Linked DNA regions of Anolis sagrei. The protein of the gene in region 1 purifies or fractionates together with the protein of each later gene. This does not show direct contact. Links are inferred from orthologs where the notes say so. Each region holds a gene or a part of one and is shown in the gene's direction. Other genes may lie near its edges. The genes, in order: COPG2, COPZ1, COPB1 and NUDCD1.

Region 1 (7,343 bases):
ATCCTTGGGGAAGTGAGGCCTACCACATGCATCCTAGACCCCTGTCCATCCTGGCTGATAAAAGAAGCCAGAGGGGGCTTGGCAGAGTGGGTGAAGGTGGTAGTTAATGCCTCCTTACAGGAGGGAAAGTTTCCAGCAAGCTTAAAACAAGCTATCATAAAACCATTGCTGAAAAAGCTGTTGACATAGTAGGGGGTGGTGCGCTCCCTGTATGATGCTCCGGTGAGCAATCTGGCTGCTGCCCGTTGGACTAGTTAAAGCTTCCGAACAGTCTTCAAAGGCAACCCTGCGTAGAGTGTGTTGCAGTAATCTATTCGGGATGTAACAGCATGGTCATAACACTTGAATAACACTTTATTTATATTCTGTGGCTATCTTTATGTTTTATGTTTTGGACTATTAAAACAGCCAGAAAGTAAGTGCTGTTTTAATTAAATTGTTTAACAAAAACTGGGAGTTTGGTTCATCTCTGCCTAAATATTGGCAGAGCCCTAGCATCGTGACAGTTGCTGTACATTTTTTGGCCTACCACATGCATTGTATGGCCATGTTCCAGCAGCGTTCTCTCCTGACATTTCACCTGCATCTGCGGCTAGTGGTATCATCAGAGATTCTGTTGCTACTGAGACACGTGGAGTATATATGCAGTGTTCGCTCACTTAGCCCTCCTCGCCTTTTGCTTCACCAGGTGAAGAGAGAGAGAGAGCGCAGGAAAGAAAGGAAAGGCCTTCAAGGTAGGAGAGAGAGAGGACTGAGGAGGGAAAGCGCCTCGGAAAGCGGCAGCAGAAAAAACCCGCGAAACCGCGAAAATACTGTGATATATATTTTCAATTCATATTTAATTAAAAACCGCGAAACAGCGAGTCTGCTAAAAGCGAACCGTGAAGTAGCGAGGGAAGACTACACCTATGGAATGTCCTGGGTGGGAGAAAGGACTTGGTTAGTTGCAACATTCTTATTTACTTACTTAGGCAATCCCTTGTAGTCCAAGGATGATGGTCCTCCAAGTTGGGTGTACTGGAGGTGGGTCCATAGGTGACTGTGGAGCCCTATTCTTGAGCTACCTCTTCTCCCACAGTGAGAGCATCGGTTTCCAGGTGGAAGGTGGTCCCGGTCGGGGTTGGGCTTCCTCTTGGCATGTTTCTCTCTTTCGCCCTCCATTCATGCCTCTTCAAATTCTGCAGCACTGCTGGTCACAGCTGACCTCCAGCTGGAGCGCCAGGGCTTCCCAGTTCTCCGTGTCTATGCCAAAGTTTTAAAGGTTGGCTTTGAGCCCATCTTTAAATCTCTTTTCCTGTCCACCAACATTCCGTTTTCCATTCTTGAGTTTGGAGTAGCGCAACTGCTTTGGGAGACGGCGGTCAGGCATCTGGACAAGGTGGCCAGTCCAACGGAATTGAAGCAACATTCACACTCGCTTCAAAGAGATCCTCCCACCCGGGACATTATTCCATAGGGATATATACACTCCACTTGCTTCACTTCCAACAGACCTCTGAAGATGCCACTCGCCACAGATGCAGGCGAAACGTCAGGAGAGAATGCTGCTGGAAAATGGCCAGAAAGCCCGGAAAACTCATAGCAACCCATTTTCTAGCGTTACACCATTAAGCTGTATTTCTGGCATTGCGGAGGGATTGGTTGGTGCCTTCTGGTGTTAGAAGAATATTTTAGTTTTCTTGATGTTCAGTGAGAGGCCAAGTTCCCCACAGGCTTCTGCAAAGATATTATGCAACACTATTTTCAAGCTGCTGATGGTTGACTCCATGGATACGGAGAGGTGACCGTATTCAGGGAGTTATCATGAAAATGCAAAAAGTGCATTACATTAAGTAAACCTCAGGATTGTTATGCTTTTGCGCAAGCATTTCTCTTTCCCTGGCTTGATCTGTTGAATCCGTGTCCTGGAAACAATAGCCATGTTTATTGGCAACAGCCATTCTGACTGCCAGGACAGTATAAATAGACAGCCAAGTTTAGATAGGTTTCATTTTAGGAAATCCTGGATTTGTGCAAACTTAACCTGGAGAGTAACTTACTTACTTAGGCAATCCCTCATTGTCTGAGTAGGATTGTCTTCCAAGATCAGTGTCCGTAGCTGACTGGGGAGCCCTATTCTTGACCCGCATCTTCTCCCGCAGTGAGGGTGAAAGGGTCTTTGAGTGAAATTTGCAAATGCTAAGCAAGGGGCTTTGAATGAAATTAACAACAAAAGAGAAATATACCCTATCTCTGTAGAAAAGGAACAACACGGAAGAAAATGTTTTAAAAACAAGAGGCATCATGTAGAGGTCATACAAAGTTCAAGCTTACATAGGAAGTTGGGTTGTGGTTAAGTGCAAAGGTTGCAGTTAAGCGCAGAGTCTGCAGGTACAAGAAGGTACTTTCCATCAAAAGGTCAAGGGAGGGGGGCTGGAAAGAGAGTACTAGTAATCCCTTGTATTACTTGAGTATATAACGGTGTACAAAAGCCAAGGGGGTGTGGCAGTCTGTTAAAGCACAAACAAAAGTGCTGTCTGTCCGTCTCATGTCGATCAGCTTGAATAAATGGGGTCTCACATGAACCAATTAGACTGTGGATTTCTTCGAAAAGGGACCCTGCACCCTAAACCCTTGATCCCTTACAAGGGCATTGGTTTCCTGGAGGAAGGTGGTCCTAGTTGAGGTTGGCTTGATGCGCCTTCCTGTTGGCACGTTTCTCCCTTTCGCCCTCCATTTGTGCCTCTTCAAATCCTACAGAATTGTGTCCAATTCTGGGCACCACAATTCAAGAGAGATATTGACAAGCTGGAATGTGTCCAGAGGAGGGCGACTAAAATGACCAAGGCTCTGGAGAACAAGCCCTATGAGGAGCGGCTTAAGGAGCTGAGCATTTTTAGCCTGAAGAAGAGAAGGCTGAGAGGAGATATGAAAGACATGTATAAATATGTGAGAGGAAGCCACAGGGAGGAGGGAGCAAGCTTGTTTTCTGCTTCCTTGGAGACTAGGACGCAAGGGAACAATGGCTTCAAACTACAAGAGAGGAGATTCCATCTGAACATGAGGAAGAACTTCCTGACTGTGAGAGCTGTTCAGCAGTGGAACTCTCTGCCCCGGAGTGTGGTGGAGGCTCCTTCTTTGGAAGCTTTTAAACAGAGGCTGGATGGCCATCTGTCAGGGGTGATTTGAATGCTTCTTGGCAGGGGGTTGGACTGGATGGCCCATGAGGTCTCTTCCAACTCTTTGATTCTATGATACAGCACTGCTGGTGACAACTGACCTCCAGCTGGAACGCTCAAGAGCCAGGGCTTCCCAATTCTCAATATCTATGCCAGAGTTTTTAAGGTTGGCTTTGAACTCATCTTTCAATCTCTTTTCCTGCCCACCAACATTTCGTTTTCCGATCTTGCGTTCGGAGTAACCCTCTCTGCTTCATTTGGAAGAATGCTGCACTCGCAGAGCTCAGGCGGTGTTGTCTTTCAGTGTCAATGTTGACTTTTGTGGAGAGGTAGCTGCCAAGGGAGCAGAAATGGTCAAACTATTCTAATAGTGCTTGGTAATACTGGGAGTTCCGTGGAATGAAGAAAAGGTCACGGAAGGCCTTGTAAAATCTGCAATTCCCAGCATTCCACAGCATTGAACTGGTGCAGCTTAAAGTGGTATCAAACTGTGTTAATTCCACAGTGTAGATGCACCATTAACTGTAATTTGGACTGCAAAAAAGAAGTGATGCCAAGGATTAAATGGTTGCCTTTAAGAGTTGTGGATAATCTGGACTGCAGCTCCCATGAGCCACTTACTATGCTGGAAAATCTGCAATTCCCAGCATTCCACAGCATTGAACTGGGGCAGCTTGAAGTGGTATCAAACTGTGTTAATTCCACAGTGTAGATGCACCATTAACTGTAATTTGGACTCCAAAAAAGAAGTGATGCCAAGGGTTAAGTGTTTACCTTCAAGAGTTGTGGATAATCTGAACTGCAACTCCCATGATCCTTGCTGAATGGGGATGATGGGAGATGGAGGGTCAAAAGCTTCCCCATTGACCGCCTTATTGATTCCCTAGAATCAATAAACAAAAGGAGTGTAAATATATGCTGCGGCCCCTTTAAATCAGGCTGGTTGCTTCCTTGTGGGCGGGGCTACAAGGGAGAAGGGGCGGGCCATACGCAAATCAAGACTGACGTACTGTATTTCTCCTTCCCTTCCGTGTGGGCGTGGCTACAAAGGAAGGGGGCGTGCTGTATGCAAATACAGACTGATGTCAGCAGTTGAGAGGGACGAATGGGCGTGGCCCTGAAGTTTTGAGTGACAGCGCCTTCTAGCCAATGGAAGCGTGCATCCAGTGGGAAGGCGGGACTTCCTTCCCGGATTTGTGAGCGGTGGAAGCTCGAACTCGGCGGCCAGAAGCCGAGCCGGCCGCCGCCATGATCAAGAAGTTCGACAAGAAGGATGAGGAGTCTGGTAAGAGACGGGCTGGGAGGGCTGGCGTCGCTAAGGTGGCAAGCCTTTCGAGGTAGGCCCCGTTGCTAGGCAGATTGGCAAGCCCCTTGGGATAAAGGCCAGGCGGCCCCGTACATAGAGAGGAACTTAGGCCTCAAGCCACGCCCCAGGGCTGAAGCCACGCCCCCAGGGGCGTGTCTTCAGAGGAGAGCATGAAAGAGGCGTGTCCTGCTTGTCCTTAATAAATAATAAAAATAATAATAGGAATAATAATAATAATAGTAGGAATAATAATAATAATAATAATAGGAATAATTAATAATAGTAGGAATAATAATTGTAGGAATAATAGGAATAATAATAATAATAGTAGGAATAATTAATAATAATAATAGGAATAATAAAAATAATAAGAATAGGAATAATAATTGTAGGAATAATAATAATAGTAGTGGTAGGAATAATAATAATAATAGGAATAAATAATAATAATAGGAATAATAATAATAGGAATAATAATAATAATAGGAATAATTAATAATAATAGTAGTAGTAGGAATAATAATAATAATAGGAATAATAATAATAGTAGGAATAATTAATAATAATAATATGAATAATAATAATAGGAATAATTAATAATAATAATAGTAGGAATAATAATAATAATAGGGATAATAATAATAGTAGGAATAATAATAATAGGAATAATAATAATAGGAGGAATAATTAATAATAATAATAATAGGAATAATTAATAATAATAATAGTAGTAGGAATAAGTAATAATAATAGGAATAATAATAATAGTAGGAATAATTAATAATAATAATATGAATAATAATAATAGGAATAATTAATAATAATAGTAGGAATAATAATAATAGTGGTAGGAATAATAATAATTAATAATAATAGTAGGAATAATAATAATAATAATAATAGGGATAATAATAATAGTAGGAATAATAATAATAGGAATAATAATAATAGGAGGAATAATTAATAATAATAATAATAATAGGAATAATTAATAATAATAATAGTAGTAGGAATAAGTAATAATAATAGGAATAATAATAATAGTAGGAATAATTAATAATAATACTAATAATAGGAATAATAATAATAGTAGGAATAATTAATAATATTAAATAATTAAATAATTAATCAAAGCCATGGTATTCCCTGTAGTAACCTACGGATGTGAGAGCTGGACCTTAGGGAAGGCTGAGCGAAGGAATATCGATGCCAGATCAGCCAGAACCATTGAGAGGCCCAATGTTTACGCAGGTCAGAAAGAATTCGGCAGTTAAGGCCAAAAACAGGGGGGAGTAGGAACCAGTTTTTGGGACTTAAATTGAGCTCTTAGAGAATTTTCTTTAGACCAGGCACTGTTTGGAATCAAACTCAAGTCTCCTGGATATTCCTTTTTCATGTGGCTTTGTCTCTAAGGATTCACGGCTTTTCAAGTGGATTAGCAGTGGCTAGTCTGTTCATGGGTTTATTCTAAAGTCTTTTTGGTTATTCATTGCCTGTGGATTATTTCTGCGAGGTTGGGACATGGATATAATTCCTTTGTTTGGACACTGCTTATGTTGCTGCTTTATTTGGCTTTTTGCTTATTTTTATAATAAGATGAAATTTTTATAATCATCTCTTTTATTGGTTCCAGTTATTCTTAAAATAAAAAGGACTCTTCCTTCATTCAAGGTGTGGTGTAATTAATGATTAGAGAGTCCCGTTCCTGTTCTAGGATGCAACACCTTCTACCTACTGGCTGTTAGGAATTGTGGGAGTTGAAGTCCAAAACACCTGGAGGGCCCAGGTTTGCCCATGCCTACCGTAGAGCCAGACCGGAAGATGTGTGGCTCCTTTAATGGGGATATTAGCCAAAGATTCTTCCCCATCTCTATTTATTACTGGTTAAACCCCTGTGCCAGCAGTACTGAAGACCGACAGGTCGCAGGTTCGAATCCGGGGAGAGGCGGATGAGCTCCCTCTATCAGCTCCAGCTCCTCATATGGGGACATGAGAGAAGCCTCCAACAAGGATGATAAAAACATCAAATCATCCAGGCGTCCCCTGGGCAACATCCTTGCAGACGCCCAATTCTCTCACACCAGAAGTGACTTACAGTTTCTCAAGTCACCCCTGACACGACCAAAAAAAACCAAAAAACTGGATAATGTGGATAATGATGTGCTTCTTTCCCTTCTTCCTCAGGGAGCGGCTCCAACCCTTTCCAGCATCTGGAGAAGAGCGCCATCCTTCAGGAGGTGAGGCCGGGCCCTTTCATTGCATCTCAGAAGTACAGGATGTGCGTCCTTCAACTCTCCCTGTACGTATTTCCTGCATTATTTTTGTCCATCTCCCCATAGGCTCGGATCTTTAACGAGACCCCTATCAACCCACGGAGATGCCTGCACATCCTGACCAAGATCCTTTACTTGCTGAACCAGGTATTTATTTATTTATTTACAGTATTTATATTCCGCCCTTCTCACCCCGCAGGGGACTCAGGGCGGATTACAGTGTACATATGCATGTGAAACATTCAATGCCATAGACAAACAACATATATAGACAAACACACAGAGGTTATTTAACATTCCACCTGTCGCACACCAAGGCTGGAAGCACACCTTTAAACCCACAAACACTCCAAAGTTCTTTAGCAAATAAACAGTTTATTTGAATAAATGCAAGCAGTATCAAGAAAGGTGAAAAAGGCAAGTAAAAAGTTGTATAAGAAAGTCTAAAAACCATCTGACCCAGCAGGTCAGCAAATACAGTCCATCAATACAGCATAGTTGATACTTATTTCCACAGCAAAATCCACGAATGCATAGTCCTTAAAACCCACAAAGGATAATGTCCAAAGTCTCTTGAAAAGCCAGGAAACAAGGTTGCACAGATCC
Region 2 (7,371 bases), on another chromosome or scaffold:
ATCGTCCTTCAATGCTGGTGATTGCCCTGCTTTTCTTGCTGTTCCTAGCAGTGGAGATTTTTCAACACTGTCTGCAAATGCACCACTTCCAGAAACCATGTGGCCTCATGAATATTTCTAGGGGCTTTCCTTTGAAGTTATTCATCTGCCCTCTGGTGGCGAGACACCTATGAAGATTTTGTTACACTTCTACAGATAGGGGTTGGCTTGAATGGTATCTGTACAAAAGACCTTAAAACAAAGGTTTAGGAAATCATCATAGGTGTGTGTGGAGGCATTCCAGTGGTGAGCAAACCTTAAAGGTATATGGTCCTAAACACTTGCATATTGGGGCTGAAAAAACCTCTTACTGCCTCTAACCTCTCAAAGAGGCATTTCCCTGTTTTTTGATGACAAAAAAAACCAAAACAAAACAAAAACAGCACAAAGGCTTGGAAACAATGTACCATAATATAAGATCATCAGAAGGAGCCCTTCACAGCCCCACCATCATCACAAGCATTGTTGGTGGGGACACAAGAGGGGCTCTTTTACACTGTAGAATTAATGCAGTTTGACTCCATTTTAGCTGCTATGGCTCTATAGTATGGAATCATGATAGTTGGAGTTTAGTGAGCCCCCAGCATTATTTGTTGGAGAAGCTAAAGACGTAAAACTACAACTCATGTGATTCTATAGCATTGAGCCACAACAGTCAAAGGGCCCTTCCACACAGCCCTATATCCCAGAAGGCAGAAAATCTCACAATATCTGCTTTGAACTGGGTTATCTCAATCCACACTCAGATAATGTGGGGGTTTTCTGCCTTGATATAGGGCTGTATGGAAGGGCCCAAAGTGATATCAAGTTGCATTAATTCTACAGTCTTGTAGTTTAGTCTGATGGCTTTTTGCTCAGGTAGGCTTTTAAATGTTTTAATTAATGGGCTTTGGGAGTGGTGTATTATTTTAGTTGAACTGTTTTTATGAGCTTTATATCTTTTAATATTTGTTGTTTATTCATTCAGTTGCTTCTGACTTTGTAACCTCATGGATCAGCCCACGCCAGAGCTCCCTGTCGGCCGTCATTACCCCCAGCTACTTCAGAGACAAGCCAGTCACTTCAAGGATACCATCCATCCATCTTGCCCTTGGTCGGCCCGTCTTCCTTTTTCCTTCCATTTTCCCCAGCATCATTGTCTTCTCCAAACTTTCCTGTCTTCTCATTATGTGGCAAAAGTACTTCATTTTTGCCTCTACTATCCTTTCCTCCAGTCAGGCTTTATTTCCTGGATTATGGACTGCTTGGATCTTCCCTAAACTACAAATCTGCTTTTTTATCTGACTTACTTGGGAACTGCGATTTCCTTCCTTGGACCCCTGGGCTCCATTCTGTAGTGTGCTGGTCATAGACTGTAATAAATAATTATTAATAATAACAATAATAACACTGGGCATGCGTATTCAGCAGCAAAGTAGCAAAGCATAAGGGCAGATGCCTTCATTGTCTCTGGTTGTGATCTCCAGGTTGTGGTCAAGAGAAGGTCAAGGGCTTGAACACTGTTTCCATCCTAAATATCTCGGTGTCACCTTAGATCGAACACTAGCATATAGGAAACACTGCTTGAACACCAAGCACGAAGTAGCTGCACACAATAACATCCTGCGGAAATGTGCTGGCAGAACATGGGGTGCAGACCCAAAATTAATAAGAACATCAGCCCTAGCCTTGTCTAACTCAACTGCCGAGTATGCCTTGCCTGCCCTGTTTGGAATAAGTTTGGCATAAGTCTGCCCATGCAAAGCCGGTGAACATAGCATTGAACTAAACATGCAGAATAATCACAGGATGTCTTAAGCTTACACCTGTTGACAAACTCTACAAGCTATCCCCCCCCCCAAAAAAAACTACCACTCCTCTTGGCGTCCCCCCAGCAACAGCAAGGGTATCCCTCTGGGCAGCTAAACGAAGAAATTCCAACTGGATGGCCTCCATGAGGGTCTTCCTCCAAGAGCGGGCAACTTGGAAGTCCCTGAATAGACTCAGAAGCGGAGTGGGCAGATCAAAAGATAATCTGGCAAAATGGCACTAACTAAAAGAATCCCACACCTTGTGTGAACATACAACTCTGCATCTGTATGCTTGTCCACTATGCCCTGCCTCATGTACAGAGGAAAAATTGTTGGAGGCCCATTTTTAGTCAAAAGATATTTAGCCGCCTGCGCTCTTTCTATTTTTATCAGTTTGACTAGCTGTACCTGCCACGCGTTGCTGTGGCCAACATTCACTCCCTCTCTCTCCTTCTTTCCCTCCTTCCCTTTTCTTCTTTCCTTCTCTCCTTCCTTCCTTCTTCTGCTTTCCTTCCTCCCTTTTTCTTTTCCTTCCCTTTCTTCCTTCCTTCTCTGCCTCTTTCCTTCCTTCCTTTGCTTTTTGCTTCCTTCCTTCCTTTTGTCTTTCCTTCCCTCCTTCTTTCTCTTTCTTTCTCTTCTTCCTTCGCTCCCTCTTTCCTTCCTTTCTTTTCTTTCCTTCTCTCCTTCCTTTTTTCTCTCCCCATTTCTTTCCATCCTTCCTCTTTCTTCCTTCTCTACCTTTCCGTCCTTCGCTCTTTGTTTCCTTCTTTCTTTTCCCCTTCCTTCTCTCCCTCTTCCTTCCCTTTTTTTCTGTATGTAATTTATCTTTTCGTCATTTATCTTTTGGGAGGTTTTAAGTCCTTTCCACTGGTTTTTTTTTTTTTTTTTTGGATGGGGAGTATGAGTGATGGTCACTCATTGGTCTGTTTGGAGTGTTGGGTCCAAATTTTGTGTCATTTCATCCAGTGGTTTTTGAGTTATGTTAATCCCACAAACGAACATTATATTTTTATTTATATAGATACTAATTTATGCAATGCTTTTGACACTAAATAAATAAATCCCCAGGTTGTGCCATTCAGCTTTCGTATGATATTATTTCAAACAGAAGGGACAGAGAATTTCATCTATGCTGACGATCGTGCCATTACTGCTCAAGCAGGGAGCTTTGAGATGGTAGAACAGAAGCTTTCCGAAGCTCTAGGTGCTCTTACTGCCTATTACAGGGAAAACCAGCTGATCCCCAACCCATCTAAAACACAGACATGTGCCTTTCATCTCAAGAACAGAGAAGCATCCCGAGCTCTGAAGATCACCTGGAAAGGAATCCACTGGAGCATCGCAGCGCACCCAAATACCTGGGAGTCACTCTGGACCATGCTCTGACCTACAAGAAGCACTGCCTGAACATCAAGCAAAAAGTGGGTGCTAAAAACAATACCATACGAAAGCTGACTGGCACAACCCGGGGATCACAACCAGATACAGTGAAGACATCTGCCCTTGCGCTGTGCTACTCTGCTGCTGAGTATGCATGCCCAGTGTGGAACGCATCTCACCACACTAAAACCGTGGATGTGGCTCTTAATGAGACATGCCACATTATCACGGAGTGTCTGCGCCCTACAGCACTGGAGAAATTACACTGCTTAGCCGGTATTGCACCACCTGACATCCGCCGGGAAGTAGCAGCCAATAGTGAAAGGACCAAGGCAGTGACATCTCCAGCTCATCCCCTGTTTGGGTATCAGCCAGCACATCAATGACTTAAATCTAGAAATAGTTTTCTAAGATCTACAGAGACACTCGCCGGAACACCTCAGCAAGCGAGAGTCCAAAAGTGGCAGGCTAAAACCCAGAACCTCAAATCAATGGCTGATACCAAATGAGAGACTCCCTCCTGGGCACACAGAAAACTGAGTGAACAGACTGCGCTCTGGCACCACGAGATGCAGAGCCAACCTTCAGAAATGGGGCTACAAAGTGGAATCCTCGACATGCGAGTGTGGAGAAGAGCAAACCACTGACCACCTGCTGCAATGCAACCTGACCCCTGCTACATGCACCATGGAGGACCTTCTTGCAGCAACACCAGAGGCACTCCAAGTGGCCAGATACTGGTCAAAGGACATTTAATCAACGACCAAACTCACACATTTTGTATTTTGTCTGTTTGTTTGCTTTGTTCTGTTAGAAATGTAATATAATTTGACTGGTTGTCCTGACACGACAAATAAATAAAAATAAAATAAATTTCAAGCACGTGTCTGAGCCAGGCCCCAATCCTGCCTCTGCCTTAAGAGCTTCCCTCTTCACCATGGAAACTGGCGCATTCTTTCCTTCCTGTAGCTGGGAAGCGAGGGCAAGTGAGTGACAGCTTCGTTTTCGAATCACAAACGGAGGCGGGGCTTCAAGGCGAGCCACGCCCCCTCCCTGTTGTGCAGTGAGGGAAAAGGCAGCCCTGGTGAAAGAGGTGGCAGGTTAGACGAGGAAGTCGAGAGGCGGCCAATCAGCAGTCGCTCAGCGCGGCGAAGGCGGGGCCTAACGGAGAGACGGGCCCGAGGCCAGCCAATCCGGTGCAAGCTAGGTCCGTGCTCCACGTCGGCATCAGAAGCGACCAAGATGGAGGCGCTGATCCTGGTAGGAGCCGGAGGGGCAAGAGAGGGGGAGAAGGGGCCTTGCGAGGGCGCGCGCCGTCGCCATGGAGACGGGACCCGGTGGGCGGGGCCCGTCGCCGGTTGCTGGGGGCCTCCTTGGGTCCGGGCCTGGGCTGGGAAGGGGGCCTCCAGCAGGGAACAGAGGGGCCGCTTCCCCCGCTATGGAATTAAAGACAGCTTGACGCCACTTTGGCTGCCATGGCTCAATGCTGTGGAGTCTGGGAGCTGTAGTTTGGTGAGGTCCCAGCCCTCTGGCCAAAGAAGGCCCAAGCAATGGTTCCCAACCATTGTGTTTTGGCCTACAACTCCCAGAAATCCCAGCCAGTTTACCAGCTGTTAGGATTTCTGGGAGTTGAAGGCCCCATTTGGGGACCTACATGTTGAGGACCATTGGCAAGGCCTTGTAAAACTACAACTCCCAGGGAGCCGTGGCAGCTGAAGAGGTAGCCTTATCTATATGACCATAGAGCAGAAATGTGAAGACAAAACTGTTTTTAAGTCTAGTCAAGGCACTCATTGCCTCTGCAGTGAATGGATCCTTTGAACTCCCAACTATTATAAGGCAGGAATAAAGTGCCCCTTTGCTCCCTATAAACTAGGAACTACATTTCTCCAGCATCTTCCAATCCCCATGGGTGACAGGCGAAACAAATCGGCCAATCCAAAAAGATGATAGCCATGTATAAATATGTGAGAGGAAGTCACAGGGAGGAGGGAGCAAGCTTGTTTTCTGCTTTCCTGGAGACTAGGATGCGGAACAATGGCTTCAAACTACAAGAGAGGAGATTCCATCTGAACATGAGGAAGAACTTCCTGACTGTGAGAGCCGTTCAGCAGTGGAACTCTCTGCCCCGGAGTGTGGTGGAGGCTCCTTCTTTGGAAGCTTTTAAACAGAGACTGGATGGCCATCTGTCAGGGGTGATGTGAATGCAATATTCCTGCTTCTTGGCAGGGGATTGGACTGGATGGCCCATGAGGTCTCTCCCAACTCTTTGATTCTATGATTCTATGTTATTCATCTCAATTGTGCCTCCTTGAAAAGGGAGATCACTCCCAAGAGAAGAGTCCATCAGCTGGTACAGGTTGAGCATCCCTTGTTGGGTATCTGGAAATACTCCCAAATTATCCACCTGAGTACCTGAGACATTGTCCTCTTTGTGGGTGCTTCAGTTTAGACAATATAATAATAATAATAATAATAATTTTAAAAAAACTATTTATACCCCACCACCATCTCCCCAAGGGTACTCGGGGTGGCTTACATGAGGCCAAGCCCAACAACACATCAGTAAAACCAAAACAGCAAGCAAATAAACAGTGCAATTAATATAACTCACATATAAACAATAACACAGAGAATTTAAAACCTTATGTACAGACAAACTGTGTTCTGTGAACTTACTTTCATTATTAAAAATATTGTGCTTAAAATACCACCAGCAATGTATATACATTTCATGTTTAGATTGGGATCCCTGCTTTTGAAGATACCACATGTTGGGTGTATATTCAAATACAGCTATTCCAAAATCCAAAACACTTCTTGTCTCAAGCTTTTCAAATAAGGGATACTCAACCTGTCACCATAATTGGTCTCCCATTATGCTGGATCTACACTGCCAAATAATCCAGTTTGTGAATCCAGATTATCTGCTTTTGATTATATGAGTCTACACTGCCATATAACATATAACAATTCAAAACAGATAAATTGGATTCAGAAACTGGATTATATGGCCTTGTAGATGAGGCCTTAGGGCCCTTCCACATCACCATAAAACACAGAATATCAAGACAGAAAATCTCACAATTTATGCTTTGAACTGGGTTATCTGAGTCCACCCTGCCATATATTCCAGTTCAAACAGATAATGTGGAATTTTATTCAGCTGTGTGGAAGGGGCCTTGGTTAGTTTTCCTCACAGAGATCCTCCATAGAAGTTGTTGCTTGTGTTCATTTGTAATGCAGCATTGTAACCCTATATTAAAAGAACCTGAAACTGTTATAGGAAATGCTGGGGCTTCAGACAATTACTAATGAGGGCTGTGTGTATGTGTCCACTGCTGAAGTTAACATGACTCACCAAGCATTTGATTATTACAGGACTTAGAGGCAGTGTTGTCCAAAGCAGTAGTCCATGGGCTGGTGCTGATCTGCAAGTTAGAGAGGGTCTAGGAAAATAAGAAACAGTTGTCATTGGGCACAAATATTGGGCCAATCCATTGCACATTAGGAGGAAAGGTTGCTGGTGTCCTATATCTTACAGCTTTAGACTACATTCTTAAGATTGCGATGCCATACACATATGATTGTTGTAGACTTATCTTTACTTCATAGAATATCCAAACTACAATGACTGTTTAATGCAGTTTCAAACCAGTGTTGACTGGTTCCAGGAAATCCTGGAACCAGTTGGAGGCCCGGATAGTGACTACACAAAGCTTAAGGGCTTTCTTTTGTGTACTTTTGTAGGAGTTTGTTATCAGGCAGCTACAGTTTGAATCGAACATTGAACTGAATTAAATTGTCAGTTTAGATGGGGCCTTGTTTAGTTGCTGAGCTATTAGTTCTGTACAGATTATGGACTTCGCTGTTAACTGTTGCCAACTGTACATTGACTTATGGCAACCCTATGAATGAGAGACCACCAATTCACTCTATCCTCATCTGATTTTTCAGGCTCAAGTTGGTGGCTTTTTTGCTTGAGTCTAACCACCTGGAATGTGGACTTTGTCTTTAAGTGTTTGCACCTTACCAAGCATTACTGTCTTTTCTAATGAGTCATACCTTCTCATGATTTGTATAACAGTCTCGGTTTAGCAATCTTGACTTCTCGGGAGAGTTCAGGTTTGATTTGCTCTAGGACTCATTCATATGTCTTTTT
Region 3 (7,270 bases), on another chromosome or scaffold:
ATTTGAGGTCCTTCAAAGATTAGATGATAGCAAAGATACTTCTGTGTTGGCAGCATCTCTTCTGCCAAATGCTCTATCCAGGGTAGCACACCTGGTATTTACTTTGCTCTTTTTGCACCAGACAAATGTTTTGTCCTTTATCTAGCCTTAATTGGCTTTCCTCGTTTTTGAAACATGGATGAAATGAGTGTCTACAACTGTTCTGTTGTTCAATAATTCAATAGGAAATGGCAGACTCCCCCCCCCCCCAGATCTGAAGGGATACCCCAATATTTGTCGGCACATTTTGAATGTTGGGTGCCACAGTTTAGAAGCTGAAATTGTTAGTAAACACATTTCAGTTACTAAACACTAACAGGCTATTCTGGACTGACTTCATTGGATTTTTCAATCACAAAATCACATTTATCAATAAAACGTTTGGTTGGAGGTAACTGGAATTTCCGCTCAATATTTTTTTATTAGAAGATTAAACATTTAGTTAAAATAGTACTGCATATGAATTAAATAAACAAATTCTGACAAAAAATGAAACCATTTGACTTTGAATAAAGAAAAATGGAAAATTGAAGATTAGATCTTATACCCAGTTCTGTAGCTTTTATATTGAATAAAGATTGCAGCATTTCATTACGAGATTTTCTTTTACAGTTTGGGATCAGTGAAGCTTAAAAGTGTAACACTTGCCTATTTTTTATCTTTTTAAGACTGCTCAACCTGCTGAGGAAACAGCAGAAAAGCCTGAGGAGCCAATGGAGCACTAAATACTGCGCACAAAATATGGGGTTTATTCCAATTGCAGCACTGCTGGGAGTCTTCATTTGTATTCTGGCAACTTAACTCTGAGATGAATGCGTATTGTAGTGACATGTTATAGTGAGTCAGTCTTCAAAATGTATTGCCAAAAATCTTGACACTGGCAGTGGGGAATTAATAAACTGACCATTTATCTTGACAAGAAAAGCTGTCATTTTCTTTAAAAAAAAGTATGGAATACTGTTTTATATAAAAAGTTGCTTTTTTAAAGGCATCTGTTAATAAATCTTTCTTTCCTGAAATGTCTTGTTTTAGCTTTTTTTATCTGATTAGTCAGAGAAACATCAGCCAGTCATTTAATACTATAATTCGTATTGCCATGATGTTCACTTTGGTTTTGTGAAATGGTTTCATTTTACAAAGGGAGTAACTTTCAAAAACCAGACAATATTGAAGAACTTAAATAATTCAGCATAGTCAAGCATTTTTGACTTGTATGAAACAATAGTTAACTATTTGTTTCATACTAAAGATCCAATGATTTAAATAATGAATGCTGCATTGTCTTTATTTTTCTTCTGTTTGTAATCCAGGCCCTTGTTATGAGAACATGTTTGGTATAGTGGTTTGAGCATTAGTCTATAGTTTAAATTTCTGCTCATCCATAAAACTCACAGGGTCACTTTGGGGAAATTAAACTTTCTCATCTTCAGAGAAAGGCAATGGCAAACCCCTGAACAAATTTTGCCAGGAAAACTCTTTTATAGGTTCGCCTTACATTCACTGTAATGTTCTGAAAGCACACAACAACAATATAAGCGGTCCTAGTCATGTGGACTCTTTCAGTGTTGTAATAGGTGTTGACAGTGCAGAAAGAAAAAAATGGTTTCTTGTGGAATATATACCTATATAAATGGCTGGAGTTGCACTTAAAATGTTCTTACTTACATACAAATTCAACTTAAGAACAAACCCACAGAATCTATCTTGTTTGTAACTTGGGGACTGCCTGTACTGTATATGAACTATGAATGGTAACACTGAAAATACAGTAAATGATAGGGAAAGAATAACTGCCATATTACACCAGTGCTGCAACATTTACATTGGCTTCCAACTGAGTACCGTGGCCTGTATAAGATGTTAGTTCTGACCTTTAAAATTCTTTACGGCCAGGGTCCATCGTACCTTAGGGACCGTCTCTCATTCTCCCATCATCAGAGGTCGCAACGACCATCCCAACATGACTTACTTTATATACCAGGTCCTAGAGAAGTGCACCTGGAAAGGACCAGATGCAGAGCTTTTTCTATTTCTGCCCCTGCCTTGTGGAATTCCTTGCCGCCCTGAGAGCCATTCGTGAGTTAGGGCCTTTTACCCTAGCACTTAAGACCTGGCTTTTTACTAGAGCATTTGATCTATGTTAATTTTATCAATATCTGTATGTATGTATTTTTATCCTTTACAATTTCAGCTTGTAAATCGCCAAGAGCATCTTGGATGGAGGGCGATTAATAAGTAATTAAATGATGATGGTGATGATGATGATGAAAGAAGAGAAAGCAGTAATGCCTTTTCCCCTTGAGCATTTTGAATGGCTTGGAGCAATTGTTTCAGTTTAAATCTTTATAAACTAGCCCATTTCATTATATATCTTCTTTCTTTGCTTCCATTCTCATGACAAACAGCCAGCCTCTTGCTCTTCCCCTCTTAACCCTCTTTATATGTGGCAAGGGGTATTGTTGTCTGAGCTCTGACATTTCACCATAGTAGTATCATTTCTACTCTGTAGTACACAACTGGAGCATCATATTCCTTATTCACTACTGTAATTTATTGATCCCAAGGGCGGGGGGATCAACATTAAATAATGGAGAAAATGACAAAAAAAAGGAAAAACATTCTATACAGGTGTGATTCCTGTCTACAGTTAAAACTTAACTACACAAAGCAAACATCACAACGCCCTTCTAAAATAGAAATTTATTACAATAAACAGTGCGTAACTAATTGAAACTAAAACACAGAAGAACTTGATTATTTATTTACAGTATTTATATTCCGTCCTTCTCACCCTGCAGGGGACTCAGGGCACATCACAATGCACATATACATGGCAAACATTCAATGCCATAGACACACAACATATATAGAAAGACACACAGAGGCTATTTAACTTTCCAGCTTCACGAGGGTATGATCGAATTCCGGCCACGGTGGAGTTGTTGTTTCACCGTGCACACTGCTGGAGATTTTTTCAAATGCCATCGTAAATTAGTTAAATTAGCCTCCCCGCATAAGTGGTACTTAAATTTCCTACTTGACAGATGCAACTGTCTTTCGGGCTGCAAAGGTCGACAGCAAGATAGACAAATGGTCAGGAGCTTACTCCGACCCCAGCTGGCTTCGAACTTGTGACCTTTCGGTCAGTAGTGATTTTAATGCAGCTGGCTCCCAACCAGCTGCGCCACAACCCAATCCCCTTTATTTATCGTGTCAGGAGTGAACCAAAACAATTGTATTGCATTAAAAACAAATGAACAGACAGACAAAACACAAAGTTTGCAGACTTGGTATTCTATTAAATGTCCTTTGACCAGTAGCTGGCCACTTGGAGTGCCTCTGGTGTTACTGCAAGGTCCTCCATTGTGCATGTGGCAAGGCTCAGGTTGCATTGCAGTAGGTGGTCTGTGGTTTGCTCTTCTCCACACTCACATGTCGTGGATCCAACTTTGTAGCCCCATTTCTTAAGGTTGGCTCTGCATCTCGTGGTGCCAGATCGCAGTATGTTCAACGCCTTCCAAGTCGCCCAGTTTTCTGTGTGCCCAGGAGGGAGTCTCTCATTTGGTAGCAGCCATTGATTGAGGTTCGGGGTTTGAGCCTGCCGCTTTTGGACTCTCGCTTGCTGAGGTGTTCCAGCAAGTTTCTCTGTAGATCTTAGAAAACTATTTCTTGATTTAAGTCGTTGGCATGCTGGCTGCTATCCAAACGCGGTGGGCTGGAGATGTCACTGCCTTAGTCCTTTCACTATTGGTTGCTACTACCCGGCCGATGTCAGATGGTGCAATACTGGCTAAACAATGTAATTTCTCCAGTGGTGTAGAGCGCAGACATCCCACGATAATGTGGCATGACCCAATCCCCTGATAGAAGCTATAATAGATGAGGGGGAGAGACAATTTTTAAGACTATCGGACATGGGCAAACTTGGGCCCTCCAGGTGTTTTGGACTCCCAACTCCCACAAGGCCTAACGGGGAAAAGGAAGGGGCCTGAGGCTGTTAGTCCTTGTGGGAGTTGGGAGTCCAAAACACCTGGAGGGCCCAAGTTTGCCCATGCCTGGACTATATTATGCAGTACTACCATTACAGATCTTTGCTGCACTGAGCTGGATGCGACAACCCGCTTGGCCCCGCCCCGGGCGCGAGGGACGCGGAAGAGGCCGCGCTTTCCCCCTCTGGAGGCAGCACGCCTGTTCCGCGAACGGAGGAGGCGTGTCCCAATCGGGCCGCCGTAGTTCCGATGTGGCCTGTGCGCGGAGGGCTGCTTCCACGTCAGCTGGAGGAGTCGGGAGCAGGAAGGCGGCGGGAGCGGCGGGGGAAGTGAGCGGCGGAGGGAGGATAGTGGTAGTGGCCGCCGCGGGAAGATAGCACCCGATTGCCTGCAGCCACCCGGAGGCTCCCTGGGCGAGGGCAGGCCCACACGGAAAGGACGGAGCGGCGGTGAGTTGTATCCGCGTCTGACTGGGAGGAGAGGCCGCGGACCCTGGGCTCGCTTGCTCGCTCTCACACACATACACTCACGCTGGGCCTTCTCTCCCTTTCCGAAGGCCCAGCTTTGCGAAGCCTAGGAGCCGCCAGCCAAACCAACCCAGGGCCGAAAGCAGAACTTCCACAGGATCCCCGCTATTTGGAGCATTGTCCGCTGGATCCCGCGAATTATTCCTGCGGGGAGACTCCGAGTCGTTTCTGAGTCATGGCGACTCTAAAGCTTCAGGTTTCCTTGACAAGATTAATTCAAAGTGGATTTGAATGTCCCTCCTCTGAAGCCGAGAGAGTGTGACTTGCCCAGCGTCACTCATTGCCTTTCCTTGGCTGAGCAGGGGTGCAAACCCTGGTCTTCAGACTCTCAGGGTGCATCTAGACCAGGCATGGACCAACTTCCCTCCAGGTGTTTTGGACTCCAACCACCACAATCCCTAGTAGCCTTATGGCTAGCGTCGGAAGAGATCCATGGGTCATCCAGTCCAACCCCCTGAAAGGGAGGAAAACACAATCAAAGCACTCCCAACAGATGGCCATCCAGTTTCTGCTTTTAGACCTCCAGAAGAGGAGATAAGCCAGTCATGGGCAAACTCAGCTTAAGCAGCTGAGGGGGAAAAGGAAAGGGCCTGAGGCTGTTAGGTATTGTGGGAGTTGGAGTCCAAAACACCTGCAGTGATGGCCAAAGTGTTGTTGAAGGCTTTCATGGTCAGATTCACTGGGTTTCTGTGAGTTTTCCAGGCTGAATGTCCCTGTTCCAGAAGCATTATCTCCTGACGTTTTGCCCACATCAATGGCAGGCATCCTCAGAGGTTGTGAAGTCAGTTAGAAACTATTTATTTATTTATTTATTTATAACTCTTGTGTGCCGTTCTTCTCTACCTCCGTAGAGGGACTCAGGACGGCAAACAGCAACATTCAATGCTACGCAATAAATAGTATAATAAAACAACATACAATAAATAAGTTCTAAAATACATATAAAAACAATTCATCACATTAAAACAACGTCCAACTCAGTCCAAAACATTGTGGCCAAATTACTCTTAGTCTATATCCAATCATCCATCAATCTGCAAATGCCTGAGCCCACAGGCAGGATTTTAGCTGCTTCCTGAATGACAGGAGAGAGGGGGCAGACCTAATCTCACCAGGGAGAGAGTTCCATAGTCCGGGGGGGGGGGGGGGAGCTACCACAGAGAAGGCCCTGTCTCTCGTCCCCACGAAACGCCCCTGCGGAGGTGGTGGGACCGAGAGCAAGGCCTCTCTAGAAGATCTTGTAATCCTCAATGGTTTATCGGGGAAGATACGTTTGGCCAGGTAAACCGAGCCCAAGCTGTATAGGGTTTGGTAGGTTAAAACCAGCACTTTGAATTGTGCTCTGAAGCGAATTGGCAGCCAGTGGAGCTGGTGTAACGGGGGGGGGGGGGTGTGCACTCCCTGTACCCAGCTCTCGTGAGCAACCTGGCTGCAGAGCGTTGGACTAATTGGAGCTTCTGAACAGTCTTCAAAGGCAACCCCAAGAAACTAGGCAAGTGAGGTTTATATATCTGTGGAATTGTACTCTTACAACCACCATGTCAGACTACACAGAAAAGCCAGAGCAATCCACAAGCATGTGGACAGTTTCAACAGAAAGGAGGAAACCATGAAAATGAACACTATCTGGCTACCAGTCTTTTTTGAAACAAACTCTAAAATCATAACAGCAAATAAAGAACAACACTCAGAAAACAGGATTTCTAAACAAGGATAAATGAGGGCCAGCTAACAGCTCCCAACAAAGGATTCCCCCACGCAGCAACCAGCCAGGCCTTGAAACTTCAGGTCATTAAATGCTCATCAAGGTGGCTAATAATAATAATAATAATAATAATAATAATAATAATAATGGTAATGGGTTAAACCCTTGTATTGGAAGGACTGCTGATCGAAAGATCGGTGGTACAAATCCAGAGAGTGGGGTGAGCTCCTGTCTGTCAGCTCCAGCTTCCCATGCGGGGGCATGAGGGAAGCCTCTCACGGGATAGTAACACATCCGGGCGTCCCCTGGGCAACAGCCTTGCAGATGGCCAATTCTCTCACACCAGAAGTGACTTGTAGTTTCTCAAGTTGCTCCTGACACACACACACACACACACACACACAAACAAACCCATAAATCTTTCTTATAGCCTACTCTACTGTCCTTGTTTTGCCCTCTTGACTTTGTTGATCTTTTCCAGATGTGTTGAATGTTCTTCCATCTTTCCTAGCTGGCACAGCTATATATTTTAAAATAAGTCATTCACAGTGGTTTCTTTAAATCTATTGAAATTTTAAGTATATATTTCAGTCTAACCGTTATAATGGTGGATCGTAAGGTGCTCAGTTTTGATCCTGCCCTTTTATTTTAATGAGATGTATAGTCACTTATGTTTCTGTAGTATCTTCCTTATGTGTGCACTCCTTATCAGAAAAGGCTTGATATTGTAGTCATTTATTAAGGTAGCTTTGTAACAATATAAATTTGTTTATTTTCCATTGCTACTATATTTTAACACTTGTGCAATGTGCGTATGACACAGATAAATTGTGTACATATTTATCTGATAATATATCATATGATAGTACCCCTTGCTGAATCTAAAGGGGCTTGCTTCTGAATAGGTTTGCATTAGGCTGCAGCCTTGATTTTCTCAATAGGGTTAAGGTTACATGCTTGTATTGCACATTAATTGGATTGTTTACTTTAAAATTATTGGTACATCGTTT
Region 4 (7,691 bases), on another chromosome or scaffold:
CCCCAGACCTTCCGCAGAAATGTGAAAACATGAGTTTTTGAACAAGCCTTTGGAACTATGTGAAATCGAATATTGGAATGGCTTAGATGATGTTTTTGGACAACTAGGCTAATAGTGAAGGTAGTGGTTTATATGTTTTTAAAGGTTTGAATGTATGTACTTTATAATTCTATTTTAAATGTTTATTATAATTTTACATTGTTTTAATGGCATCAAACAGCTGCCTATGTAGTAAAGCCACCTTGAGTCACCTTTGGGTTCAAGAAAGGTGGAGTAGAAATAACGTAAATACATAAATAATAAATAAACTGCATTAATTCAACAATGCAGATGCACTCTTGGGCTGAAGATGCAGTTAGCACAAAGCAACTATTAGCGGCATATACAAAGCAACTATTAGCTGCATATGTACCTAATATGCAGAGACATTTTAGGTACACATTTCAGTTTTAATTTCATATTTAGACTTGTGTCTCATCAATATCTCATTGTGGATATTGTTTTTAAAAATATATTTTGGATAAGGGATACTCAACCTGCATCGCTGCAAAGTAAACATTTTTATAAAATCAAACCTCTTTTTCTCTTTTTCTCTTTATTATCCAATGCTGTCTGGAAGGCTTAGGAAAATATTTAATTATCATTTTTTGTTGTTCATTCGTTCAGTTGCCTCCAACTTCTTGTGACCTCATGGACCAGCCCATGCCAGAGTTCCCTGTCAGCGGTCACCACCCCCAGCTCCTTCAAGGTCAAGCCAGCCACTTCAAGGATACCATCCATCCATCTTGTCCTTGGTCGGCCCCTCTTCCTTTTTCCTTCCAGATACCCATGATGCTCAGGGATTTTTCAAAGCCACAAAGGTCATCTATGGACCAAGAAACCATGGCATACAGCCTGTACACTCATCAGATGGAACCAAACTTCTGAAGGACAAAAAAATCAATTGCACTACGTTGGAAAGAACACTACCAAAGCCTCGGGCTTTATTTCCTGAAATATGGACTGGTTGGATCTTCTTGCGGTCCAAGGCACTCTCAGAACTTTCCTCCAACACCACAGTTCAAAAGTGTCTATCTTCCTTCACTCAGTCCATCTCTCACATCCGTAGGTGACTATGGGGAATACCACTGCTTTAACTATGTGGATTTTGGTTGCCAGTGTGATGTCTCTACTCTTCACTATTTTATCGAGATTGGTCATTGCTCTCCTTCCAAGAAGTAAGCGTCTCCAGATTTCCTGGCCGCGATTTCTTGACAAAGTCTATCACGGCCTCCATGTTTTCTCCCTCTATTTGCCAGTTATCAATCAGTTTGGTTGCCATAATCTTGTTTCTTATATATATATATTTAGCTGCAACCCAGCTTTTGCACTTTCTTCTTTCACCTTGATTAGAAAGCTCCTCAGCTCCTCCTTGCCATCAAATTGGTATCATCTGCATATCTAAGGTTGTTAATGTTTCTTCCAGCTATTTTTACCCCAGCCTTGCATTCATCAAGCCCCACACATCGCATTCATACAAGTTGAATAGGTTATTATTATTATTAACTTTATTTATACCCTGCAAAATCTCCCGAAGGATGCGGCTTACAAAGGCCAAGGCCGCCGACAAACAACAACATACAATACACAATAAACTCATAAGCAAATAATAAACATCAAGCAAAACAATAAAACAGTAAAACAATGACACCGTGATGCAATTAAAACCTAAAGGCCGGGCCAAATGTAATGGACAAAATTTTAAAAGTTCTGAACTTGACAGGTGATATGTAGAGGTATTTGGTGGTAGGTGCAATGTGCAGATAATCCTGAATCTCTAGCAAAGTGCATTTGGGACTTGATGCCAGGAGTTTCCTATTCTGGAAAGGCACACTGGAACAGCCAGGTCTTCAAGCTCTTCCTAAAGACAGCCAACGTTGGGGCTTGTCTGATGTCCTTGGGGAGGGTGTTCCAGTCGGGGGGCCACCACAGAGAAGGCCCTGTCCCTCGTCCCCACCAAACGCGCCTGCGACGCAGGTGGGATCGTGAGCAGGGCCTCTCCAGATGATCAAAGGGAGCGTGCGGGTTCGTATTTGTTTGGTCACGCAGGTAGGCAGGTCCCAAACCGTTTAGGGCTTTGTAGGTGAGCACTTGCACCTTGAATTGGGACCGGAAAATGAACGGCAGCCAATGGAGCTCCTTGAACAGGAGGGTTGACCTCTCTCTGTAAGGGGCCCCAGTTAACATCCTGGCTGCCGCCCGCTGAACTAGCTGAAATTTCCGAGCCGTTTTCAAGGGCAACCCTTGTGAAACTACAACTCCCATAATTCCATAGCATTGGGTGAGAGTATGCAACCGTGTTGTACGCCTTTCCCAATTATATCAATTTTAGTATTTAGTTATTTAATATCCCATTTTCATGTCTTTATGTTGTTTGGTACTTGAATGTGTATCTATGTTGATATACAGTAAATTTAATGTTTAAAGAAACTTTCTGAGAAATGTCCTAAAGAAGGAGCAGTTATATTAATCTGAACTCATGCTACATCAGAATTATGAAGGTGTGTCTACACCGTAGAATTTAAGAAGTTTGACACCACTTGAACCGCTTTTGCTGAATGCTATGGAATCATGGGATTGCTGAGGCCTCAGCCCTCTTTGGTAGAGAAGGCTACAGCCCTTGTGGAACTACAACTCCCATAATTCCATAGCACTGAGCCTTGGCAGTCAAAGGGGTGTCAAACTGCATTAATTTCACGGTGTAGATGCACCATTATGACTTTTAAAAATGAGGTCTCCCCGACCAGCTCAATTAAACAGCTGAGAATGGGAAAAAGTGAGTGAGAGAGAGGCAGGTACCTGTCCCGGAGGCCCTTCGCTTCCTCCCGGCTCTTTCCTCCCAAAGTCGCCTCCAACTCCCCGCCGCGCAGCCGCAGAAACGCCCAAGAGGGTCCCGCCCACCGCACTACGTTCTGACCTCATGCCTCGCAAAGCAGAACGGGAAACGTAGTCCTTTATTGCGTCTCCCCTTGTTCTCCAGTGTCTCAAATGAACTACAAGTCCCAGAAGGCCGCATTCTCAAAGCAGCTCTCCCTTATCTCCTGGATGTTCTATATTAGGATAGGGTCTTATTTAAAACGGAGAAAATGAATCAACTAAATAATAATAATAATTATTATTATTATTATTATTAATTAATAAGCAAAATTAATTGATGCTATGGGATGGGGCAAATAAATGGGATTTATAAATCAGTTATATTATGAATCAACTAATAATTAATTAAATAGTAACTAATGAGTAAAATTGATTAATGCTATTGGGGCAGGGGCAAATAAATGGGATTTATAAATAAGTTATATTATGAATCAACTAATAATAAAGAATTAATTAATATTAATAACTAACATTAATTAATGTTATTGGGATGGGGCAAATAAATGGGATTCGTAATTAAGTTATATTGCCAATCAACTAATAATAAAGAATGTATTAATTAATTAATAATTAATTGAGTAAAATTGATCAATGCTATTGGGATGGAGGCAAATAAATGGGATTTGTATTTAGTTATATTGTGAATCAACGAGTAATAAAGAACTTATTAATTAATAATTAATTGAGTGAAATTAATCAATGCTATTGTGGCGTAGGCAAATAAATAGGATTTGTAATTAAGTTATATTATGAATCAATAATAAAGAACTTATTAATTAATTCGTATTTAATTGATGAGTAAAATTGATGCTACTGGGGCAGAGGCAAATAAATGGGATTTGTAATTAAGTTTATTGTTAATCAACTAATAATAGATAACTTATTAATATTAATGAATGAAAATAATGAATGCTGTTGGGGTGGTGGCAAATAAATAGGATTTATAAGTAAGTTATATTATGAATCAACTAATAAAGAACGAATTAATTAGTAATTAATTATTAATTAGTAAAATTAATCAACACTATTGGAGACGGGGAAAATAAATGGGATTTATAAGTAAATTCTATTATGAATCAACTAATAAAGAACTAATTAATTAGTAATTAATCATTAGTCAGTAAAATTGATTAATGCTATTGGAGGCGGGGGCAAATAAATGGAATTTATAAATAAGTTATATTATGAATCAATTAATAAAGAACTAATTATTAATTAGTAAAATTAATTAAGGCTATTGGAGGCGGGGCAAATAAATGGAATAAATAAGTTATATTATGAATCAACTAAGAAAGAACTAATTAATTAGTAATTAATTAGTATAATTAATAATTAATTAGTAAAATTGATACTATTGGAGGCGGGGGCAAATAAATGGAATTTATAAATAAGTTATATTATGAATCCACTAATAAAGAATTAATTAATTAGTAATTAATTAGTAATTAGTAACATTAATTAAGGCTATTGGAGGTGGGTGCAAATAAATGGAATGTATAAATAAGTTATATTATGAATCAACTAATCAAAAACTTGCTAATTAATTAATAATTAGTAATTAATTAATTAGTAAAATTAATTAATGCTATTGAGGTGGGCAAATAAATGGGCTTTTAATCCCCTGTGGATGTGCTTCAGGGATTCCTCATAAACAAGTCTTTGAATGAGAACAGCCAAAACGCAGAAGTTGCCCACTCAGTGGCCCGGATGTAGTTCTTGAGCAGCAGTCACTCAAAAAACTACACTTCCCAGAACGCTTTGCTCGCACTCTTCTACCTAGAAGCCTCTGCGGGCTGGAAGAGGCGTCCTGGCTTCCCTGGGCCTCTAATAGGAGAAGAAAGAAGCGATGGAGGACAAAGCGGCGGCCAATTGCTCCCTGCGGGTCAAGCGCCCCCTCTTGGACCCCAAGTTCGAGGGCTACAAGCTGTCTCTGGAGCCGCTGGCCTCTTACCAAGTCGCCCTGGACTCCCGTAAGTGGATCTCAGCACCAGAGACTGGCCAGGCGGGAAGACACAATCAAAGCCCTCCCGACAGATGGCCAGCCAGACTCTGTTTAAAAAAGGGGCTGGCAAAAAAGGGATATCCAGGATTCTATAGTTAAAGTAGTGTCAGGTATGATCCAAAGCAGGAATGGGCAAACTTGGGGCCTCCAGGTGTTTTGGACTTTAACTCCTACAATTCCTAACAGCCGGTAGGCTGTTAGGAATTGTGGGAGTTGAAGTCCAAAACACCTGGAGGGCCCAAGTTTGCCCATGGCTGGTATAGACAGCGACACATCCATGGGGTTGATCTTGTCATTTGAAAGTTGTAGTTGCTGGGATTTATAGTTCACCTAGAATCAAAGAGCATTCTGAACTCCACCAACGATGGGATTGAACCAAACTTGGCACACAGAACTCCCATGACCCAAGTTGGTGAACTACAACTTCCTTGAGTTTTGGGAGTTGTAGTTCATCTACATCCAGAGAGCACTGTGGACTCAAACAATGATGAATCTGGACCAAACTTTGTTCAAATACTCAATATGCCCAAATGTGAACACTGGTGGAGTTTGGGGAAAATAGACTTTGACATTTGGAAATTGTAGTTGCTGGGATTTATAGTTCACCTACAATCAAAGAGTATTTTGAACCCCACCAATAGAATTGGGCCAAACTTCCAACACTGAACCCCCATGACCAACAGAAAATGTGTTTTCTGATGGTCTTTGGCAACCCTACTGGAACCCCTTCATGACCCCCCCCCCCCCCGGGGTCCCAACCCCCAAATTGAGAAACACTGAATTAAGTAAAAGTAATATCTAAACAGGGAGAGCCATATTACAAGCGTTAGGATTGTCTGTGGCCCCCATCTACACAGCTATATAATGTTTGCTGCCAGTTTCCTACAAAGCACAGTTCAAAGTACTGGCTTTGCCCTATAAAGCCCTCAATGGCCCCGGCCCAAATTACCTGTCCAAACGTATCTCCCTCTCTGAACCAACAAGGAGGTTAAGATCTGCTCTCGGTCTCATCACCTTTGCAGGTGCGACTGGTGGGGACAAGAGACAGGACCTTCTCAGTGGTGGCCCCTCAAGCTGTGAAACTCCCTCCCTAGTGGCATTTGATTGGCCCCTTCCCTGCTGTCATTTTGCAAAAGAGTGAAACCTTGTCTTTGGGATCATTTCGGCCAGCATAATTATGGGTGCAATATAGTTGGAAGTGATGCATGCCATATGCCAGCAAATATGGAAAACACAAGAATGGCCATCAGAGTGGAAAAAATCAACTTATATCCCCGTACCAAAAAAGGGAAATGCGAAAGACTGCTCCAACTTCCGTACAGTGGCCCTTATTTCTCATGCCAGTAAGGTAATGCTCAAGATCCTGCAAGGAAGACTCCAGCAATACATGGAGCGAGAGTTGCCAGATGTACAAGCTGGGTTTAGAAAAGGCAGAGGAACGAGAGACCAGATTGCCAATACCCGCTGGATAATGGAGAAAGGCAGGGAGTTTCAGAAAAACATCTACTTCTGCTTCATTGACTATTCTAAAGCCTTTGACTGTGTGGATCATAATAAACTGTGGCAAGTTCTTGGTGCGATGGGCATCCCAAGCCACCTTGTCTCTCTCCTGAGGAATCTGTACAAGGACCAAGTAGCAACAGTCAGAACTGACCACGGAACAACAGACTGGTTCAAGATTGGGAAAGGCGTACGGCAAGGCTTCATACTCTCACCCAACCTTTTTAACTTGTATGCAGAACACATCATGCGATGTGCGGGGCTTGTTGAATGCAAAGCTGGGGTGAAAATTGCTGGAAGAAACATTAACAACCTCAGATATGCAGATGATACCACCCTGATGGCCGAAAGCGAGGAGGAGCTGAGGAGTCTTCTAATCAAGGTGAAAGAAGAAAGCGCAAAAGCTGGGTTGCAGCTAAACATCAAAAAAACCAAGATTCTGGCAACAAGAATGGTTGACAACTGGAAAATAGAGGGAGAAAATGTGGAGGCCGTGACAGACTTTGTATTTCTAGGCACAAATATTACTGCAGATGCAGACTGTAGCCAGGAAATCAGAAGACGCTTACTTCTTGGGAGGAGAGCAATGTCCAGTCTCGATAAAATAGTGAAGAGTAGAGACATCAGACTGGCAACAAAGATCCGCCTAGTCAAAGCCATGGTATTCCCTGTAGTAACCTACGGATGTGAGAGCTGGACCTTAGGGAAGGCTGAGCGAAGGAAGATCGATGCTTTTGAGCTGTGGTGTTGGAGGAAAGTTCTGAGAGTGCCTTGGACTGCGAGAAGATCCAACCAGTCCATCCTCCAGGAAATAAAGCCTGACTGCTCACTGGAGGGAAAGATACTAGAGACAAAGTTGAAGTACTTTGGCCACATCATGAGGAGACAGCAAAGCCTAGAGAAGACAATTATGCTGGGGAAGGTGGAAGGTAAAAGGAAGAGGGGCCGACCAAGGGCAAGATGGATGGATGGCATCCTTGAAGTGACTGGACTGACCTTGAAGGAGCTGGGGGTGGTGACGGCCGACAGGGAGCTCTGGCGTGGGCTGGTCCATGAGGTCACGAAGAGTCGGAGACGACTGACCGAATGAAAACATAGTTGGAATTGCCTTTGGATTGATGAATAGGATGATCTGACTTTGGATCGATGCACAATAGTTGTCTAATGTTTACATAGGTTGTTTTAATGTTGTTTTAAATTATTGTTTAATTGTTGTTGTTGTTTGGGCATAAAATAATACCGCTCATGTAGGCCGCCCTGAGTCCCATTCAGG

The links.
Region 2: the proteins of COPG2 (region 1) and COPZ1 fractionate together in Homo sapiens (co-fractionation; 5 studies listed by BioGRID and IntAct, with this or other methods). This does not show direct contact. The link is inferred for Anolis sagrei from reciprocal best matches to the Homo sapiens genes COPG2 and COPZ1.
Region 3: the proteins of COPG2 (region 1) and COPB1 purify together in Homo sapiens (affinity purification with western blotting; 4 studies listed by BioGRID and IntAct, with this or other methods). This does not show direct contact. The link is inferred for Anolis sagrei from reciprocal best matches to the Homo sapiens genes COPG2 and COPB1.
Region 4: the proteins of COPG2 (region 1) and NUDCD1 purify together in Homo sapiens (co-immunoprecipitation; 3 studies listed by BioGRID and IntAct, with this or other methods). This does not show direct contact. The link is inferred for Anolis sagrei from reciprocal best matches to the Homo sapiens genes COPG2 and NUDCD1.

What each region holds. Positions count from the first base shown.
Region 1 is NC_090025.1:194,475,146-194,482,488, forward strand, and holds the start of COPG2 (coatomer subunit gamma-2), read left to right. Parts: upstream 1-4,322; 5' UTR 4,323-4,406; coding exon 4,407-4,443; intron 4,444-6,648; coding exon 6,649-6,701; intron 6,702-6,803; coding exon 6,804-6,884; intron 6,885-7,343. UniProt on the Homo sapiens protein: The coatomer is a cytosolic protein complex that binds to dilysine motifs and reversibly associates with Golgi non-clathrin-coated vesicles, which further mediate biosynthetic protein transport from the ER, via the Golgi up to the trans Golgi network.
Region 2 is NC_090022.1:188,474,495-188,481,865, reverse strand, and holds the start of COPZ1 (coatomer subunit zeta-1), read left to right. Parts: upstream 1-4,363; 5' UTR 4,364-4,451; coding exon 4,452-4,469; intron 4,470-7,371. UniProt on the Homo sapiens protein: The coatomer is a cytosolic protein complex that binds to dilysine motifs and reversibly associates with Golgi non-clathrin-coated vesicles, which further mediate biosynthetic protein transport from the ER, via the Golgi up to the trans Golgi network.
Region 3 is NC_090021.1:250,245,658-250,252,927, forward strand, and holds the start of COPB1 (coatomer subunit beta), read left to right. Parts: upstream 1-4,253; 5' UTR 4,254-4,477; intron 4,478-7,270. Other genes in the region: PSMA1 (proteasome subunit alpha type-1), read left to right, coding at 708-764. UniProt on the Homo sapiens protein: The coatomer is a cytosolic protein complex that binds to dilysine motifs and reversibly associates with Golgi non-clathrin-coated vesicles, which further mediate biosynthetic protein transport from the ER, via the Golgi up to the trans Golgi network.
Region 4 is NC_090024.1:26,949,903-26,957,593, forward strand, and holds the start of NUDCD1 (nudC domain-containing protein 1), read left to right. Parts: upstream 1-4,671; 5' UTR 4,672-4,762; coding exon 4,763-4,886; intron 4,887-7,691.